2 linked regions of the Drosophila melanogaster genome follow. The protein of the gene in region 2 interacts with the protein of the main gene of each other region in a pairwise test. Each region holds a gene or a part of one and is shown on either strand. Other genes may lie near its edges.

Evidence for each region.
Region 1: the proteins of CG9396 (region 2) and CG13022 interact in a two-hybrid assay, tested with the Drosophila melanogaster proteins (one large-scale study listed by BioGRID).

The regions. Positions count from the first base shown.
Region 1 is NT_037436.4:16,932,786-16,943,653, forward strand, and holds CG13022 (uncharacterized protein), read right to left. Parts: upstream 6,168-10,868; 5' UTR 6,158-6,167; coding exon 5,561-6,157; 3' UTR 5,545-5,560; downstream 1-5,544. Other genes in the region: CG11905 (uncharacterized protein), read right to left, coding at 1-226, 508-575, 2,409-2,423; Cpr73D (cuticular protein 73D), read right to left, coding at 6,453-7,798, 7,851-8,032, 8,816-8,953, 9,811-9,938.
Region 2 is NT_033777.3:9,563,218-9,573,953, forward strand, and holds CG9396 (uncharacterized protein), read right to left. Parts: upstream 8,407-10,736; 5' UTR 8,272-8,406; intron 8,184-8,271; 5' UTR 8,163-8,183; coding exon 8,015-8,162; intron 7,957-8,014; coding exon 7,916-7,956; intron 7,533-7,915; coding exon 7,266-7,532; 3' UTR 7,197-7,265; downstream 1-7,196. Other genes in the region: CG9393 (uncharacterized protein), read right to left, coding at 1-119, 219-305; Vps45 (vacuolar protein sorting 45), read left to right, coding at 809-901, 965-1,163, 1,215-2,647; CG16789 (uncharacterized protein), read left to right, coding at 3,007-3,246, 3,339-4,339, 4,394-5,302, 5,365-5,535, 5,589-5,763; CG16790 (uncharacterized protein), read right to left, coding at 6,034-6,370, 6,432-6,773, 6,826-6,923; CG9399 (uncharacterized protein), read right to left, coding at 9,280-9,537, 10,032-10,072, 10,137-10,302.

The DNA of each region.
Region 1 (10,868 bases), on a different chromosome or scaffold from region 2:
GGCGTGAAATGGCTGATGGGCGGGCTTGGGGAACAGGTATTGACTGGAATCAAGGATCGGTGGCAGCTTGGGCTGCTCCGGCTGCTTCTTCACGTAGCCAAAGGCCTCGTTAACCTTGGCTATCTGCTCGAGGATGCGCTTGGCCTCGTCCGCCTTTTCCGAGGACGGAGTGGCCGCATTGGGCTCAAAGTCCTCGGGAAATTTGACCAGCCGCTGCTTCTGAATTCTGCAAACGAAAGGTGGGGTTTGTTTGGTGGTCTCTATCTGTTGGTGGAGTTAGCTTCTAGTTGCTAATGCAGGGTAATGTGTTGTTGGGTGGAGGGAAATGAGTTTTGAGGGTTAGTCACAAGTCTGGGCTTTTTTCGGTTTAGTCACATAGTTCTAGGCAAGCGCATCAACTTCTACTTGGAATGAGCATTAGCGTTGACACAGTCACATTTGGCAGGCAAGGCATTTCATGGTTATTTGGGGTCTTAGGGCTGGGTAACTAGCTACTAGTCTACTTACTCGACGGCCAGTCCACCGTGCTGTTGAGCCTGGCCAAGTGCCAAAGAGGCCAGAAGCAGTGTTGAGAGCTGAAAGACAAATGTGTGACAATAGATGAATGAGATCTATGATTTATGCCGGTTAGATAGGGTGTCTGTATTCTGATGTCGTAATGGATACAAAATTCACACGTGTGGAATGCGGTCAAGTCCCGAAAGTCGCGAAAGTCTCTCTCTCCCTGCTCCTCCAGCACATTTGCATAATTTCTTTCGCTGCTGAAAGCTACGCCGAAAAGTGAGAGCCAGGTGGCAAGGAACGGCTTATGTACTTGACGGATTTTCCCTCGAATACGATTGTCAAGAACCTCACGATCGGCAAATATTTGACTCACTCTCGCCGGCTCTCCACATCTTTGGCAAAGTCAATATTGACGCAACCGTTAGCCGGTGGAAACGACCAGCCCGCACGCCTATCTATCAGCGCCGAAATGTCACAAAGCCGAGAGGAACTGAGACCAAAAGCCAAAACCAAAGCTGGATTCGAAGTCGAGGCTCGTGTTGTGTCATTGACCTGAACCTCTAGGCGGCTGTTACGATTTCGGTGCCGAAACGTAACTCGAGAGAAGAGATTCTGGCGCAGAGGCTGTCGAACCTGGTTGCCATTGATTTGCAAGAACTCTTGCATCCCCAAGCAGTAAGATGTATTTCTGTCTGCTTTCTTTTGTGTATTTCGCCTTATTTATTATATTGCCCTCACATAACGATGCCGATTCGACCCCATATCAGGTGTGTCTTGTCCAAAAATAAACTGGGTTAATGGCTCGAATGCAAAGTTTAAGCGCAGCATTTTATGTTCTCAAACAAGTTATAAATGAGTCTGTCTCCTGATCTTCACATCCGATCAGGTGTCTTTTGGTCTTAAATGATATTCCAGAGCCATTCCAATGCAGCTAATTGAGCAGGGATTGATGGACTTGGGACGTGTGGCTAACTGTCTACACTCATAAATTGATTAATTTATGAACCACTATCGAAACGATCACAAACTCGAAAACAAACCAGTGCACTTATAGTTAAGAACCCCACACAAATGTGACCGATTGTTTGATAGTTGGGAGGGGGAAAAGAAGACTTATATTACCATTTGTTAGCCCACGCATGATTTTTATACGTTTGCGGCATATTAATTTTATGTTCTTTGAGTCATAATTATTTTTTGGGCTTTTCAACCCAAGTGGTTGTATTGGTTGTGGTTATAATTGAATGGCATTGTTGCTTATGGGAGTCGCTGTAGAGTTTTGACTTTTAAGGGCATGCTTTTCATAATGGGAATATGAATAATGCAAGGAACAATACTTCCTAGGTATGAATGATTAATTCTCACTTTTTAAATTGGGGTGGGGCTAGAATATTGTCACGTTCAAATGGAATGGACAAAAGGGTTTCACTTTTCAGAAAGAATTAACTCTTTTGAAAAACCTTTACTAAGTGAACAATAACTGGCACAAAGAAGTCTTAACCTTTTGCATTCATATAAAAAAAAGTTTCCCCAATATAGTTCTTTGCGTCCAAATTGATTTGTGATTATTATAAACCCCAAAAAGATTTTAGGCACTCTTATTAATATTTGCATATGGCACAGAGCATAATTAAGGCTAATTAAGGCGATCAAAAAAAGGAAAGAACCAAGCCAAGAATCAAAAAAGTCGCTTAGTGAAAGTTAGTGTCGATTCAGAAGTGAAAGAAACAAAAGACTTAAGGCACGAACTTGGGCCAGTTGACGAGTTAATGAGTTCAGCGGCAGCACAGAGCAATAAATGATTAATTGCGGTCAGGTATAAACTAGTTTCGTTTTGTATTCCCAAAATGTGAAGTTAAGTCATTCATGGTATTTAATTTTCTTTTTTATGCGATTTGACTTACAACAAGAAAGCGCATTTTAACGCGAGGTTCTGGTGAATAGTTTCAGATTTTTCAATAAATGCTTGGTGTTCGTGGCGTTGACCAATCCTCGCCTTGACAATATATCCTTGAACTGCAAACGAGAACGGGAATGAGTGGCACTCTGGGTTATCACGCGGCAAAATCACACACACTAAAAGCACTATAAAACCAATCCTGCTGAGCTTTCAATTTACGATTGTTTCAGGTTCCGTTGTTTTTCTTTCTTTTTTTTTGTCACGCACAATAAATAGGGTCTGGAAATGGAACTCCTACCAAGAACCAAGAGCCAGCGAGCCAGGCGACGTCTGAAGATGAACTGAGTGCTGGCCGGGCCCAGCGCGTCTGTTTATAACATTTCCATTAGCGATGCAAACGACGAAGCGAAAGAAATGGCCAAGAAAACAGGGCCCGATCAGGTGTAAGAGAACTGGGTTTTGGGCAGAAGAGAGAGTCGAAGAGAAGACCGCGATTCGGGCACGTAGTCGAGCGCCTTGGCCTGGCTTTTATCTGGGGGCGTGGATCTGTGGGATTTGGTTACCAGCTCCAGGGTACACAACACCAATTGATATGCAGGCTTACAACTCTAGGATTTCGCAGATCGAAATCTTCCCCGATCCCTTGGGTTAGGCAAATAGTTTGCCTAACATATTGTCAGATATTTCTCAAGCATTTGATTAAATGTGCTGACAGTCGCTTCTTCAGTCTACTGTTTCGCAAACTCGCACCTAGCAAGAACACAGAATCACAGCGCTGACTTTGATTAATTGGCCGTTTATTGGCTTGATTGAGTGTGACTGGACAGGAGCGAAGTGACTGGCCATTACAAGTGGAGTGAGCCACGAGAATAGAAGCGAAATGCGTGTGGGAAGTGGAAAGGTAATCAGCTCGGAACGGGCCCAGAACATGACATAAGCCAAAATGGTAAGAGACTTACCGTGATGAAAGAATCGATTCGTTGCCGGGCAATTCAATTAAAATGTTTGCCTGGAACTCGTTAGAAAGTTTCGCACATAGTGACTCAAGAGTCATGTTCTTTTTTTTTTTTTTTGATTTGACAAGCACTTCGGCGTGAAGACTTCACACACTTCTCGGGTATCAACAGATGTCAGGATTAAGACTTAGCTTCGGACCGTTTTTGATCGATAATCATGAATAACAAATGTCTGAAATCAGAGAAATTGATTTCAGGTTCGTGCCTTAAGTCATTTGTTTTCATTGCAGACCAGTCTTTATTAGCCCAGAACCATTAATTTTGTGATTAACTTTGCTGTGATACAACTGCAATTTATTCTTTTATTGGCTTTTATGCCCCGAGCAGCCAGCTACTGACTGCGCTGTGAAATAATGCATATTCCTTGATTAAGCAGCATCGAACGGGGGGTCGACCTTTGTGGCACACGCAGGCATCAATAAAATTGCCACAAGATTTATGGTTTCGAGTGCGCAGAGCCGAAGGGAGCATACGAAATTAGCAGCAACACGTTGTAAGCCCCGAATGCGCCACACGCACCACTTGATCCACAATTGGAATGCAGCAATCAAAAGGCGATAAATCGAACCCCAACTGAAATCCAAGCAGCCGAAGAGCGAGTCGAGAAGTTGAAGACCGAAGACCGAAGACCGAAGACCCAAGACCCAGAGACCTTGGGGCCTATTTATAAATGCAGGCGAAACGGGACTGCTAGTGGGATGTCGTTGCCTAGGCCCGGGCCAATTAAGTCTGACCTTCGGCGAGGAGGAGAATCCCAGCCCAAACCGTTGTTTATGAGGGGGAAAATAAACAGAAACAGCTAACTGGCACCTGGGAGAGCCGGAGCCCCAGTAATTTGTGGTTTCAATGCAGGCCGTTCTGCTGCTACGCTAACCCAATTATGCACCTCGGCTACTTCCCAGGTGAGCCATTGATTTCTACGCTGAGAACGTGGCCATTTCAGCCATACAAACCCTAGACCCGGCCGAATAGAATCTATGTCAAGCTATGGCAAGCTTTTTAGTGCTCTTCTGTACGTTCTTTTAGTGCATTCGGCGAAGAAAGTTTTCGAGTGCGTAGGAACTTGTTTCAGGGAAATCACTCGCTTAGATCTCTTGACATTAAAACTTAATTGTGGCAGTGAAACTTTCGGTCAAAACTGGCCCATGTAATAACTTTTTGTTTTAGCAAATATGCATATTATTATTGCTTATGGGCTTTTCTTGGCTTCGCGCGGCCAGAAATATATTTTATTTAGGCCACGCCGTGGACGCCAAGGCTTTCCGTTCGATTCAAATTATTTGGCAAGTGCGCGCACGCGTCGAACATTTCAAATGCTGTATTATTTTGGTCCCTTTCCGACATGAAATTGCCCAAACAAAAATAAATAAGCCACAGAGCTGACTCAATTTGGCTTTGGGATGCACTGTCCATTTGTAAAATGACTTTGTGCGACCGAATATAACCATTTTTATGATCGGAAAATCAATTAGGGTTTATAACATGCATAAATCGCCGCAGTTGTATCGTGCCAAAGCACGCGCCACAAGCAATTAAAGCTCTTACAATCATTTACGATCAGAAACTGACAATGTTTACCCTTATCTACTTTATGCAAACATTTTTATTGTAAAACGTTTAAAAATTATGTCCAGGCAAGAAAATTTTCTATTAATGCGATGACCGCTTTTATGGAACTCAAGTTATGTTTCTTTTTAAAATGAAGAAAAATATTCTTTCTACCGTCCTATTTAGCATAATATTATATTCCAAGATTTACAATTACAAAAAGAATTCATACATTTTTGGACATCTATTTTTACGTACATTTTTTTTTTAATTTCACCATTATTTATAAATGTTAATATAATGTCTTCCGATCCAAAGATAATTTTGTGCCGCGTAGAAGTTATGAAATCCAGAGCTCTCGATAATATTTGACTATTGCTTGCATTCTATAACCAAGCAAAGCTGCACTCTTTTCTTTGAATGAACTCTGTTTTACAAGTCATTCATTCTTTGACATATGTTTACAGTTCAGATCCCCGATCACGTAGGTCTCAAACACGACAGGTGACACTGTCAGATCTCCAAAGACTTCCAGTAAATAACGCAAAACACCCAAGTAGAACGAGCAATAGTTTTGGCTAATATATTTTATTTACGTGTAGCCACGATATTTATGCAACTCTTGCAGGCTAGTCAAGGCATTTGTTTGGATTCCGTTTCCGATTTCGATTTCCGAGTGCGGTTCAGCGGCGGTGGTGGCCTTGGCCAAATTGCCACCCATGACCACGAATCCGATGCCGGCGCCCGCCTTGTAGCTCAGCTCATGGTAGCCAGCCTCATCGTAGTAGGAGTACTTGCCCAAAACATTTCCCGCCTCATCGGTGTGCTGGGCATGCGACATCTGGTCGGTGCTGAAATCAAAGTTTTGCTGGCTTTGCCGGTGCTTCAGGTGGTTGGTCGATGCTAATTGGTAGCCCGCACTCAGCGAAGATGTTGCCACTGCTAGGTTATCCTGTGTATTGTAGGAAATCCGGGAAAGTGGATTCTGTCTTGTCCTCAGAGATTGATGCACAAAGTTCAGCGGACCAAAGGAATCCAGAGAAGATGCCCCAAAACTAGGCTTAACGACACTCCTATCCAATCTATCGCCATCCGTGTTGTAGGAGTATCCTTGTCCATTGAACTGCATATACACTTGCGCTCCTTGAGCACAGGAAACTATCAGCGAAGCAATGAAAAGCACCAACATCATGTTCAAGTCTCAGAAACAACTAAACTCCGAGCATGCTAAGTCATGGGGTTATATGTGGATTCAAGGAAACCGCAATGTGCAGATTAACCTGCTTATACCCGGATCCACGGATATCAAATAACTATTCGCTAGAGATACAGATACAGTTTGAGATACAGATACAGGCAAAAAATGTATTCCGCTTTAAATACTGTTTTAGTTTCCATGTGGAGTCAACCCAGTTTCGGTTACTCAACACTGATCACTTAGAGCTACGCACTACAAACTACAGATCTACAGATCCAATGGGTGCTTAGTGCTCCCTTGAGGCATTCAGCTCGGCGATCTCATCCTGACGCAGTGCCTCCGACGGCGAAAGTCCGATCCTTCCGCCCAAGGGTATTATGTCGATGTTCTGGACATGGGCACGCACACTTTGACCAGGCGGCAGGCCCACGTACCATTTACCCACGTTCTTGATGACGGTGGAGTCGCGGTGTCGCTGCACCCACTCCCGATCCCTGTCGATCTCTAGAATTCGGTGGTTGGCGGTGACCAGAGGAGGCAGTGAACTGCCCACATCGTCATCGTTGAGGTGGTAATTGTCCCCGGGTCCGCTCATGGCACTGGTGCCCGATCCACCTGTGGGCGGCAGGTAGCCCAGGCCGGAGTCGCCTTCCCTGGAGGCTCCAGCTCCACCTCCTCGACGACTGCTTCCACCACCGGCAGCACCTCCCCTTCCTGCTCCCCGCTCAGAGGAGACACTTACTCCACCAACGCCGCCGAATCGGTTTCTGTTTCGGGACCCACTAACATTGTTTCTCGTGGAGCTACCTGAACCACCTCTCTGAGAGCTGTCACCTCCGGCATCGTATCTAGTACTGCCCCGTTGCGGACTACCCGCAGGGAACCCTCTTCTGTCTTCTTTGCCATTAAAGTTGGTGGAACCAGAGGAGCTGCTGCCAAGCCCAATGTCATCCCCTTGGTCATCAGCATGGTGTCCCAGATTTTCATCAGCTGCCCCAGCATCACCATCTCCACGATTCCTATCTCTTGCTCCATCAGCCGGCTTTAGGTAATCTTTGCCTCCGGGTCTGCTTGGAGTACGGCCCCTTCCCGCTCCACCTGCACCACCACTTGGCCCCGAAGCTCCTACCGAAACACTTCCCCCACCTGATCCACCACCACCTCCCTTCGGACCTAAGCCACCACCAGCACCCCTGCCAAAATCATTAGCCAGTCGGAAATCTGGATCTGTCAAACGAAAATCAGCCACAGAGGGATTGTTATGGGTTCCAGGACCAATCCGATTTTGCACCACCCGGTAGCCAATTCCTGCTCCAGCTATATACTCCACTGTCCGCTGCACGCCCTTGTCGTCCAGGAAGGAGTAGGTTCCTCGCACCAGGCCATCGGGTGCTCGACTTTCTGCCCGTCGGTGATCCGAACCTGAGGCGATCAGCTTATAGCTTCCAGCCGGCCCCCTTTGCACAGACATCTTGCCGCGTGCTTTGGGATGGGACGTGTACAGAGGACTGGAGTACGCCACAACAGATGGGCTGTCCGGCACAGCGTTGGAGATCTCGAATCCGGTTCCGGCTCCAGCTGCATAACGAACACTGTGCCGCTCGCCCACGTCGTCCAAATAGGAGTACAGACCTGGGATAGAATCAGTTAATATACTCTTAAGTACCATACTCGCTAAACTCGCCTCTTATCCTATTCCCGGAATCATTCTCCTCGCTGCGCGACTGATCCGGAGTGCGAAAACTAAAGCTGTAGGATGGATCGTCGAAGGGATCGGCCAGCGGATCGTCCGGACTTCCCCGCGGCAGTACCGGATACTGAGCCAGGTCCATTTTCCGATGGATTTTCGGTCCGTTCACGCGAAATCTATGTGGGAAATAGAGGGAGATTAATTAGCTACCGACACAATGAGTGGGGATTGGGTAAACCCTTTCAGCGGAAGCGGACTTGCACTGCAATTTTGAATATAGATTCGATCTTAGCCCGGCACGCCATTACTTCGATTACTACACATCTCGGGGAACGATCCCATTCAGAATCATCGCTATCGTTGAGCATCTGCCATCTACAATCCATTCCTCTTTTTTTTTTGGCTCGAATCTCTCAGGCCAGTCAATTTGTTAACAGCTTTTTGTTTCCCCCGATTTACCGGAGATTGCAAAAAACAACAGTAGCGCCGAAGCGGTAATGGAAAAACGTTTAGGCAACGCCAGAAAAAGCAGTCCAATGTGTTAGAACGGCTCCAACTCCATGGATCCCCCTCCGTTTGTTTGGGTTTCGCTTCAGTGGCCGCCGCCTGCCGCCAACCGCTGATATATGAGCTCAACTCTGACATCGAGGGGAGATAACTCACTTTGTGCTGCCACTTCCTCAGCGGCCAATACACTCAGGAAAAAACCGCCGACCTTCCTCAAGGAAGTTACCTTCGAGTCATGTATACCCACAGAACTTATCGTTGCCTAATTATTTTTAAAAACATTTGAAATACATATATTTTAAAAATTATGTTTTTCTTTTACGCATATTTTGACATCATCAATTTTAAATGCATTTTTCTCCACACATATGCACTCTAAAATGATACTATTTTCTTGCAGTGCACCAGCGCACTTTACCCACTAGTCTTGGCTACCGTCTTCGATTACTCACCCACGTGGTCCGGCTGTGTAGACCGTCTCCTCGATCTGCCCGCTCGCCGGACTCCGCGAACCGTAGCGACCTCGCACCGTGTTGTCCGGAGTGCCCGAGGCGCTGTGATAGTAGCCGCCAATGTCATCATTTGCATGTCTTTTGGCCGATTGGAAGCAGTAGCAGTAGCAGTACCAGCAGCAGCATATCCATTATCCATGCCAGGTGGGATCCATCGAAACAGAAGTAATTGCGTTGCCCCATGCGTGCGAAATGGAGAGGGAAAGATGGTCGGAAGCGTGTTATTGTTGTGGTTGCAAAACGTTGAGGCGTTAAAGAGGTGCTAAAAATCTCAAATTTTCTCGGGTGTAATGGTGATGGTAAGGTAGCAGACATCATTGACCGATTAGATGATTTGTTAGATTTATGACCCATGGCTGCTAAAAAACTGTAATTGAGTTGTTCTCTTTTCAAAAGGTTTATTATTCTACCAAACAGCTAAGTTTGTACGCAATTGGGGAAGGTTATTTCTTATTTTCAGCGACTAACTACTTTTAATCCTTTTTTTAAAAGGAAATTGGACGACAATGAAAGTTCTATTCTATTTAATGTAAATTATGTTATTTGGTTAAGTTTTTTTATTGTGATGACTAATGCAATGAGTTGAAAATTGAAAAATATTAATTTCAATGTTATCTGAATTAATTTTATTGTGAAGTTTTAAAATCCTATTAAAAATCTTAGTCGATGTAGGTATTATGATAATCGTATTACGAAGGAAATTACTAATTTCTGTCAAAATATCCTGCCTTTTAAAGCATTTTTAGGTAAATTGAAAATTTTACTAAATTCAAAATTTTGCAATTGTAACAAAAACTATTCATCAAATTTCTTGAGTCACAGGGTGTTGCATTTGCAATTAAATGCATATCCATTTAATCCATAATGCCAATTTTTTTTTCAGTGCTTAATATCCTTTAAAAATGTTCACTATAGTTTGTCACACATCTATGTACCGAAACTGAAAAGATCCATCCTCGCTGATGGTATTGTACTCGATTTCGGCTCTCGCAGGATCCGAAAAGTATCCTAAAACTGCGCAGAGAAGCAAAAGGGAATTCGCGTGCCGATGCAGATGCCACATCATTCAAATCGCATTCGTTTTAATCCAATCGAGAGATGAAACAAGTATCAAACGGGCATCCTGTTCCAGGTGCACAGTCACCACATAAACTTATATTCCCCCAACAAATCCGATTCGATTCGATCGTCTGCCAATCCGATCTTGGAACCCGTCTTAAACTCCGACTTGGTTTGCGATCTTCGAGAGGAGCTAGCGGCTAGAACAACGCGACGGCGACGACTGATGCGATCCAGCGTTAGACCTTCGTATTTAAATACGATTCTCAGGCGGCTCAGCGAGCGGTTCGTGCGGCGTCATATGGTGGTGCTAGTGGAGCTAGTGGTGCTGCTTGTCTCACCTGACCACCCACCAAAAAGAGCCAAAGCCACGAAGATGAAACAGCAGCATTTGTGTGCAAATTGCGTTACAAGAAAAGGCGGAAAGTGGGCGCGGGGCTCAGGTGAGAGAATTCGTTCTAATGATGGACACGCAAGTGTTGTTGCAGCTGCTGCTGTGTTTCTCCTATTTTATGGCTCCTTGTTCGCCACTTTAGGAGGGTGGGGGAAGGGGCTTAAAACCCGCGGGAAATGGCCAGCGGAAAATGGAAAATCGTGCCTGTGTAGCTGTCTGTCAATTAGCTCACGTTGTTCTTGTTCCCCGAAGTTGCAACCTGGAGCTCTCTTCCTGTTGACAATGCACCATCCCCCCGCCCCGCTCTCTTTAGCTTACAAATCGCAAAACTCTGAACATTGAACTTCATCGCTGGGGAATCAATTTTCCATTTTGAGTTTTCCGTTAGCCGGAGCTTATTACAAGTTCGATCCAGAGCGAGTCTAGGTCAGTGTCTTAGCAGCAATTTTTGGCCAGGTATGCAATTAAAGGCAATTACCCGTCGGCTGGAGGAGACCACAGAACTTTATGACAATTTCCGCCTAGGATCTTGGCTCTTGA
Region 2 (10,736 bases):
CTATAGCCCGCGAACTTCTGGTTGCCGATCTGCAGATACGGCAGCTTCCCGGCTCCCGAACGCAGCGGATTGGAGCTGGTCTGCACGTCCATGGGGCAGCGGGTGAATCGCAGGAGGCACTGTTTCCGGCAAAGAGGCGCTTTCATCAGTTTCTTTCATCATCTGCGATAATGGGCAAAACAGGCGTGCTGGCCGCCGTGTGATGCAACGGAACTTACCAGAGCACGTAAACATTCAAAATCTATGGACGGCAGTCCGTACTCCCCCTTGTACACATACAGCATGGCTCCCAGTTGCATCTCCATTGTGTCCTAGTCTATGCTTTGCTCGTACTCTTGTATTTAGCCGGTTTTCAACAGTCCACCTGCATATCAGCCATCCGAATTTGAATCCAAAAATATATGCCAGAATTTCTGGCCGACTGCTGCGAGTGCTTCAGACTGATAACTACTGGGCACTCGATATATCGCTCGAGCATATCGGCGCTTTATCGATTGCCGGCCAGGGATGTTGCTACTCGAAGTTTATTTTGGCTAATGAAAAGATACGGAATTATGTTTGAGCTTAATTGCTATTTATGTTTATCTTTATTGCTATTTTTATTATACTACCAAAAAATTGTAAGTTTTTATCTATATGCATTTTTACATATTCACATTATTTTACATTAGCTAGATCTAGCGAATGTTACCCAAATGTTTGGTCACCGCTGTTATCACGGAGCTATCGCAATTGGGGCATCTCCAACCCATCTGTTTGCGAAAAAAAACATTAATTTCTGATTTTCGCAGTAAATTAGTTAGCAGTCATGAATCTGATAAGCGGCATTAAGTTGTACATCGAGAAAATGTGCTCCGAGTCGGGACCGGGCATGAAAATCATTCTGCTGGACAAGGAGACGGTAAGTGCAAGGACTGACAATCAAATCCCCTGCCATATGATCAAAAATTCACATCATTCGCAGACCAGTATAATTTCGATGGCCTTTAGCCAATCGGACATGCTGCAACGGGAGGTGTACCTATTTGAGCGCCTGGACTCGGGAAGATCCAACGAGCGGTTAAAGTATCTAAAATGCATCGTCTTTATACGCCCCACCAAGCAGAACATCCAGCTACTGGCCAACGAGTTGCGGAACCCCAAATACAGCGCCTACTACATTTGTAAGTGGGTCAGTAGAAGCACCTTCGGAATAGTACTAAACTCATAAATAGATTTCAGCAACATCATTCCCCGGACGGACATTAAATACTTGGCAGAGTGCGACGAATCCGAATCGGTGCGAGAAGTGAAGGAACTGTATGCAGACTACCTGTGCGTCAACCCCAATCTGTTCTCATTAGGCATTCCCAATTGCATGGCGAATCTTAATTGGCTGCCGGACGCTCTCAACCGCAGCATGCAGGGCATCACAGCCGTGCTGTTGTCCCTTAAGCTGAACCCAGTGATCCGGTACCGAGCCGGTTCTCAGGCAGCGCAGCTTCTGGCCAAGCTCATATACGAGCAAATCACAAAAGAGTCCTCGCTATTCGACTTTCGCTCCAACATGGATGGCGCTGCGCCACCGCTGCTGCTTGTGCTGGACCGCAGGGACGATCCTGTGACGCCGCTTTTGCATCAGTGGACATACCAGGCCATGGTGCATGAGTTGCTGCACATAAAAAACAATCGATTGGACCTGTCCAATTGCCCCAATGTGCCGAAAGACTTCAAGGAGCTGGTCTTATCCGGTGATCAGGATGACTTCTATGGCAACAACATGTACGCCAACTACGGCGAAATCGGATCTACCATCAAACAACTGATGGAGGAGTTCCAGCGCAAGGCGAACGACCACAAGAAAGTGGAGAGCATAGCAGACATGAAGAACTTTATTGAGTCATATCCGCAGTTTAAAAAAATGTCTGGCACTGTGCAAAAGCATTTGTGTGTGATTGGAGAACTGTCGGCGCTGAGCAACAAGAGGAATCTCTTCGAGGTTTCCGAACTTGAACAGGAGATCGCTTGCAAGGCGGAGCACTCGGCCCAGCTGCAGAGAATCAAAAAACTAATTGCCGACGAACGGGTTTCCATCGATGATGCTCTTAAGTTGGTGGCACTTTATGCATTGCGATACGAGCGACACGCCAACTGCGACACATCTGGACTGCTGCAAATAATCAAAACGCGCGGTGGACGAGCGGCTATAGTGCCATCGTTGATTGAGTATGCTGGAACCCATGTACGACAAGGAGATCTCTTCAATATGGTGCGGATAACGGACGCCGTAAAGCTGACACGGAATTTGATTAAGGGCCTTAAGGGTGTGGAAAATGTCTTCACACAGCACACTCCTCTCCTGAAGGAAACTTTGGAGGACGTGTTTAAGGGCCGCGAGCTGGATCCCCTCTTCCCGGCCATCAATTCAGAGCTTGTGCCATTTCGACGACCACCGCAGGAGGTTGTCGTGTTCATTATTGGCGGTGCCACGTACGAGGAAGCCTTAGCGGTGCACCAGTTAAACAACGCCGGCTATAAAGTCATTCTTGGCGGCACCACCATCCATAACTCGCAGAGTTTTATCCAAGAGGTCGTGGCCGCCACTAGTGGCATTCAGTTTAAGCACACCAAATCCATGATCAAGTACTGTTCCACGGATAACATTTAAAGTCTATTTTGACTAGATAGCCCCAATTATATTGTTAACTATTTATTAACTAAATATGAATGTGCATTATGTATTAAGGTATTCCATGCATTGTACCAATTCAAATCCATTGGACTATTTAACCTTTTAAGCGTAACCATGTAAACATATTTATTGTTATTCTCGAGGGTAACACCAGGCAACGCCTTGGACAAAATGTATTATATACAACTATGTGTGTACAAAATTACTAAACTCTCGTTGTCCTTGCAATAATTCCACCCCGTTTCGGCAAAAAGTTCCTTGGCAACTCCCAGGCAACGTTTCGTTTGGCTCAAACAAGAATCTGATTTTTCATTGGAGGAGTATCATTGACCATCATGTCCAGCACATATTTCAATGATATCTGGCACCAATCCCAGCATGAATGCGAGCTTCTATCCACGATTGACTATGAGAGGCAGCACCAGGATGTGGAGACGACGGTGGCCACCATGAATGCAGCGGTCGGATCCGTCGCCGCCGATGCGGATGCCAAGGCCTTGCTGCAGTCCAGTCTGTACGAGTTCTATCTGCGCTACATATGTCTGAGCAATCGTTTGGAGGATGTCTATGATAATGTGGGTATACGACTTTCTTAAACAAAAGTGGGATATATATAAGGAGATGATATATCCTTTGACTCTGGTTTACTTCTCATCTTTCATCATAGATGATTCAGCCTCAGAAGCGCCAGTTGGTGCGTAAATTACTAGACGCCTGTCTGGGTCGAGTGGTGGAGCTGAAGCACGATCTCGTAAATATCGACTTGATGGAATTTAGCTACAACGACGAGGTGGTGGAACGCCTGCGCCTGACGCCCATGGAAACGGAGCTGAGGATACCACGCTACTTTCTGCGCGAGCGTCAGCAGGAGCTAGAGTTTCGAAAGAAGACCATGCATGAGATCCTAACGAAGCTGGGTTGGCTTGAGGAGCACGAGCTGGAGGAGACGGTTACCACCGAGATCGAAGCCATTAGGATGCTTCAAATGCACGAGCGAGCGCGACAAGGACGCTTGCGTGCCCACTTCATGAAGGAGATTCGCATCCTAAAGGAGAAGGGCAAGTCGGAGGAGCGCACCGAAAAGGAGCGCAGTGACTCTGGTCTTTTGGCTGCCATGAAGATTCAGAAGATGTGGCGTGGCCACACAGCCCGACGGATAACGCGGCGCCGCAAAATGGAGGAGATGATCCTAATCGGAATGCTGCCACCACCGCCGGCTGTGGTTAAGGAACGAGCCGAGAAGCTGGAGAAGCTGCAACACAACGAGAAGCGCTACCAGGCGCAAGCGTTTTACGGCAAAGAGTTTGAGGAGCGACAGAACGCACTAAAGGAGGAGATTCGGGCCAAGCACGGAGCCAGCATGAAGGAGGACATTGCCGATGAGATTCGGGCTTGGGTAAAGGACTGCTACGACAAGACTGGCAAGCTGCCGGACTTTCCATCCGAGGATCAGGGCGGCTCATTGCATATTTTCAGCAGACCTGGAACTGAGAGCGAGCACAGCCGTTCGTCGGCCCGCTCCTCCAAGGAGTCGCGAAAGACCAAGGATAAGTCCAAGTCACCCGCTCGCAGTGGTGACCTCAACGTCAACGAAAACCAAGACGAGGAAGTTAGCTTCCAGCCGGCACCGTCCGTTTGCCTGCCAGACATCCGTGCGGAGATCGATCTGTGAGTAAAGATATATAATAAATTGATCCAAATTTAATCTTTTTACAACTTCAGGTTTAACGATACCTGGCGTGATAAGGATGAAACCGGTGTGCTGAGCCAAGCGGCCTATGAGGACATGATCTACAGCGACAAGTACCAGGAGGTGGAGCTAGAATTTCGGCGCGCCGTCGACGATGTGATGCGCCAGGAGATCGAGCTGCTCCAAACGGCCGTCGGCAAGAAGGTGAAGAAGAGCAGCAAAAAAACTCGGCGATCCGGCAAGAAGAGCAAAAAGAAGAAGGAGAAGGATCTAACGCCGGATCGCACTACGGAGTCGCTGTACGAGGAGCTGGTCACGAATGGCATAATCCGGAAATACCCGGAGCTAAGGCTAAAGCAATTCCTGGGCGATAAGGCGTTGACTGCCAGGATTGGCACTAATCCCTCACCGGGCGACATTCGCCAGATTCTCACGGAGTACTGCATCCTTCCACTGGGATCTGATGCCATACATAACTGTACTCCACTGATACGTTCCATCCTGTTAGCTGGCCCCAAAGGATCTGGGAAGAAGGCACTGCTCCACGCCATTTGCACGGAGGTGGGTGCCGTGCTCTTTGATCTGACTCCTGCCAATATTGTTGGCAAGTATCCTGGCAAATCGGGACTGATAATGCTAATCCATCTGGTACTGAAAGTGTCGCGACTGCTCCAGCCTGCGGTGATATTCATGGGCGATGCGGAGCGGCCCTTCATGAAGAAAATTCCAAAGACGGATCGCACAGATCCCAAGCGACTGAAGAAGGATCTGCCCAAGTTGATAAAGAACATTGCGCCCGAGGATCGCGTCGTTTTCATTGGCACTTCCAATCTGCCCTGGGAGGCGGATCAAAAGCTATTGCAATCCGTCTACAATCGGTTCATCTATATTCCACGACCGGATTACGGCGCCATGTCACATGCCTGGAAAACATTGTTACAGTGCGTAAATGTGGGGGATTCATTTGCAAAATAATCTACTGATTTGGTTTGCACCCCGACAGCGATTACTCTGGTGGCATTTCCAATCTGGACACCAGCGCCATGGCCAAAATATCAGATGGCTATACCATTGGGTCCATCGATGCGTGCCTCAAGGAGGTGATGACCTGCAAGCGGAAACTCCAGCTGCGCACCCAACCATTGACCAATGCCGAACTGATCAATGTTCTGTGGTAAGTAGATTTGGCTATGAAATTAGTTAGTTGTTAGTTTCCATGCCTTTCAGCTCACGAGATCCCGTCTACCGCGAAGAGGAGGAAGCTTTCGAGTCCTGGTGGTCGAAGACCCCGCTCGGCCGCCGTCGTCAGCGGTTTTTGGAGCTGGAGGAGGAGCGATTACTGGAGGAGCAGGCGCAGGCGGCCAAGCAGGGAAATGGTAACAAGAAAAAGGGTCTTAATTAAAAGGTAATCACTGGACTTCTTATATTTAAGCCTAATTTGTAAGGAAACATCTTTGGATTGCTAATGGTAACCATTCATTCAACGCTATGGCTTGCTTTACAATCTTGCTTTTATTAGCAAACTACAATTTATATGTTCATATATATGAGCTAATATGGAACAGATTACATTTTTGATACCTAATAAAGTCAATATATATTTTCCACTACATTCCAATTGAAAGATCAGCATGCATAAATATTTATGATTCAGTTAAAGACTGGCAATATCCTATTTCAACGAGTAGGTAAAATCCTTGTTGCCGCACTTTAGGTGCACCTCATTGACCGCCAGGCAGAGTTTGTCCTGATCATCAAGGAGCTCTTTTAACTCCGTGAGCTTTTCGTTAAGCAGTGTCTCCTGGTCGCCAACGCACCAAAGAAGGCTGACGTGGAACGAGGCCGGATCATAGAACTGTTGCAGCCGGTAGTCGAGCATCACTTGGTCGATGGGCTGCAGAATGGCAGTCATCTTCTCCACAAATGCAGCGTCCAGGGGCGCAGCAATGAAGGTCCTGGTTCGCTCCTCATTCGTGTAGATCCGCAGCCCCTGCAAAGTGGCGGCGAATCTAAAAGAGGATTGGTCATCAGGATGGGAGATACTAGATTTAACTTGGTTAAACATCTCACCCCGCAGAGCTGTTGAGGGCGCTTTGCAAGGATCGGGAGAATTCATCGATCTGATGGTACTGCAGCACCACTGTTCGACTCAGGCTCAGATGGAGCGACTCGTTCGGCTGCAGTTCCAAGTGTGGCTCCAGACGAGCAATGGCCTCCGTTTGGAACTCCTCCAGCTGGTCAACACATGCTGTTGCCGGCACATAGACGTAAGTGGCCCAGTTTCCCCGTTCATGCTTGAAACTACGCATGCGGCCGCCATGTTCCGCGGGATCATCCACCACATCCTCGACGAACTCCTCGGGCTTGGGCTTCTTGGGGCCCAGCAGGGTGGCTGCTTTGGGTAGGGCCGGTCTTTGGCGGTTATAATGTAGAAATCTACGGGTATTCCAGTAAAGGACGTTACCTTTTCAAGGTGATCAACGCGGGAGTTTGAATGTTTTCGGTGCAGTCCTCATCCTCGGAGGCGGAGGAGCTGCTGCCACCATAGTCCACCAGGGCCATATTATTATTTATTTATGTATTTTTATTTGATTGCAGTAAACAAGAAATGACCAACAGCACAATGTTCGGCGGTTTTTATTTACATTTATCGATTAAATTGAAAGTGATGTGTATTTAGCTTGGTTTTAAATTTATGTTGATAAACTATTTTGTTTTAAGCAATTAAATTGCAATTAATAACATTAAAAAAAAGTTATAAAATTCACTTTTAATTATTTAAATAGTACTTATTTTTTTAACATTTTTTTACTGTAAAATTTCCACTTTAAATGTATTGACCGTTAAAGCCTTAAAACTTGTTTTTATTTAGACTAAATCCATTGAAATGCACAAATTGGACTACTACAAACTGGCTTCAATAGCCGGGCATTGCTCGCCATTTTTCTCCAGCCTCGACTGCTCCCACTGGTAGTTGTAGTACCTACCCAATTGGAAGAGCTGCGTCAGACTCACGAAGAGATTAACCGCGAACAAGCTGTAGTTCTTGGGAATGATCACCAGAGAGTAGCGCGTCCAGATGAGGTTCGTTGCCCCAAGAGCCAGACATCCGTTAGGCGAAATCTTGTCCGCAGGACGCGTCAAATCACTGAGACCCGCGATAACGAGGCTCTGTGGTGGAATATAAACGGAATGGTTGCGGAGATTAGGGAGATCTGGCCGATAGTGCAGGGTAAGTCCCCCCATTGACTGCAAATCTGAATAGCATGTTGGCAAAGCTCCCCCCAGTCAAAACAGTAAAAGTATTATGAAATATTCCATGAGCCCCACAAACCGCACAATCATTCAGTTATCAGAATCTCGCGCGTGGAGAGGAAAATGGTATATAAGTACATATATACATATTTATCGCGGGCTTGAACAGGTTTGCCGAGAACTAAACAAATAATAATAAAACACAATATTCGCCCACAGGTTTGTTTATCAGTACGGTGATAATGGGAATTGGCTAAGGACGCAGGGTTCATGGTTATGCAAGTAGTGCAAAAACTTACCCACTTAACGATTGGAGCCCAAAAGAATATGGTCTTGGGTCCTGAAGGAAAGATATGTTAGTTCCTCTCTGTGCTTAAAATGCTTCTATTTATGATCACCTGCTGGGTGCATCCACAAGGGTCGCATCTTGGGGGGCACATACTTGTCGCAGGCCTTGATAAGTCCATTATATGCCCTGGAGTGAAGACCCTTTCCGGCGGAAGCTGCAGCCGTGGGCGCAGGTGTTGTTGGAGGAGTGGCAGACATTCCGGAACGCTACTGTTTTTCCTATATTTTCCAACGTCCAACCAATAGCAGATGCACAGAGTAACTGCTGGTCAGGTTTGCGAATTGAGAGGAATTCTATATGGCCTACCTGTAATCAAGTATTTGTTGAGTATGGGCTGATTGATTGGAAGCGCTGGAATAACAATCGCCTGGGACTGCGATAAACCAGTTGGGAAGTAGTGCTCCTGAACAAACTGAGGCACAACAGCTCCAACCAGGCGTCCATCTACAACTGAGCTTTCCGAAAAGTCCGGGGTCCATGCACATATGTTTATGTTTCTCTAGTATTATTAGCTTAGCGCTCCTGTTATCACCAGCACTATCAGCCACTGGAATACGACGACGCCAGCCCCTTTTTTTGCACTTTGCTTTTGCCGCAAAACTAATATAAGCTCTTAGTTATATTCTCCTTTTATTGGTTTTTAATTAATTTGTGTTGACTAATTGTGTAAAACTCAACACAGTTATCGAACAGCGAATGTGCAAATAGATTCATCACACATGGCGTATGAGTTATCTTCTTGATAATCCGGTTTTATTGCAATCTAAGGATTTCTACTCTTTTGCAATTATTGTAATAACAGCTCATTTCATTTAAATCAGTCAAACATAATTGTATTAAATCAAAGAATAAGATATTGATTACCTTTGCCTTTTGGATATGTTTTCCTAATTTGGCATACTTAAAATAATACTTTTAAGAAAATATCTTTTAGCCAGTTTGGTTCATTTATATTACTGAATATAACCCATTGTTGGGCCACCATGTTGGGCCACATCCACTTTAATAAAACGAACAACTACGTTTATCTAGTGACTAAAGTCTTAAAATGTATTGATTTATCATTCTCGTTTCGATTTAACTATACGCAAAGCCTCCACAGTTACAACTTAAGTAATACGAATCACGTCGATAAGGCGGTGAACCATAAATAATAATGGTTAACAGGTTGTAAAACGCAGTTTCGCGATCTGCTAGTACAGCTTCCTCTTAATCCTTTCGTTTACGTTGCGCGTTGTGGGATTTGTATGTACATAAAAGTTCGATTAAAGTCTATATAAAGGGGACAGCACCGGTATTCGATTCGATATGTATCTAATTTTGCACCGCCGGCTGCTGCTGCTCCTGCTTCAGCTTCTCCTGACTCTGGTGGTAGTGGTAGGCCCGTGCCAGCTGCACCACCTGCGTGATGCCCACGAAGAGATTCACGGCGAACAGGCTGTAGTTCTTGGGTATGATCACCAGCGAGTAACGCGACCAGATGATGCCCGTGGCAGCCAGGGCGGCGCATCCAGACACGGAGATGGTGTCGGCCGGTCGGGCCAAGTCACTCAGGCCGGCGGCAACGAGACCCTGGCAAAGGAGATAAAGGATTCGATTGCTTATTTAATTTTTGTTTTAACTAAAGGACGCGATATGCTTAGGCATCTTCAGTTTCTATGTTTTAGTGCCGCTATGGGAGATCTCAACTGGCTGTTCTTTGTTTTATTTATTTGTGGCTTGATATATGTATGTACATAAGTATGAGGCATCTATATGCCTACTATCGAAACAAACAAACTAACTAAATAAATCAAAAGTTTTTGATTTTTTTGGGAAACTTTTTTTCATAGGGTTCCACAACAGAAGGCAATCCGCTCACGAACACAACCGTATGCGGTTGTTATCAAGCGCAGGTTGCTCGAAATAATCAAATAATTTCATTTAATGGCACCTGCGCTCAGATTTGTCTACCGTCGTTTCGGATTTATGGTGAACTATAGTATGTGTGCGATAATGAAAATCAGCGAAGGTCGTGCGTTGTCCGAGTTATGTAATCCCATCCGTCTGGCTTTCTGTCTACTTACCCATTTGAAGACGGGTGCCCAAAAGAATATCGTCTTGGGACCTGGAATCAAACCGAACCTAAAGATGTGCTCTTTATGTAGCATAGTGGTCTATGTGAGGCTTACCAGCTGGATGCATCCACAGTGGCCGCAGCTTGGCGGGCACAAATTTGTCGGCGGCGCCAATCATCCCGTTGTACAGCTTGGAGTGGATGCCCTTTCCGGCGGAAGGGACGGCCGATGGTGGCGGCGGGGGAACGGGCGGCGGTGGCTGAACGGCTGTGGACGACATTTTGTTGTTGTTGCTATTTGTGCGAAAAAATTCCACGGGTTGCAGTGATGATAATTTATGCGTCCAAACTCGTTGGCTGGCAATCACAAAATAAAATCTACTATGAAACGCTAAACAACAAAAGCCAAAAAGCTTCGTGAGAGAGCGAAAAAGACAAAGAGAGCAAAAGAGAGAGCTAGCACCCACACAGCCGCAAACTCGAACAGCTGAGCGCGCTATTTTCTAACGTGTTTAATTTGACACGTTAAGGAAATACCTATACAATTGTACCTACAACTCGTACTTGACTTTCTAAAAAGTGCAAAAATCATGCATTCATCTTTAGGAACAGGTTTTTGCACGATCACAGGTTCATTAGCTATCGCACAACATCCTTGACCTTGAGGAGAGTGTGCCAATTTCCGCAATTTCCGCAGCAAAATGTTGACGGAAGC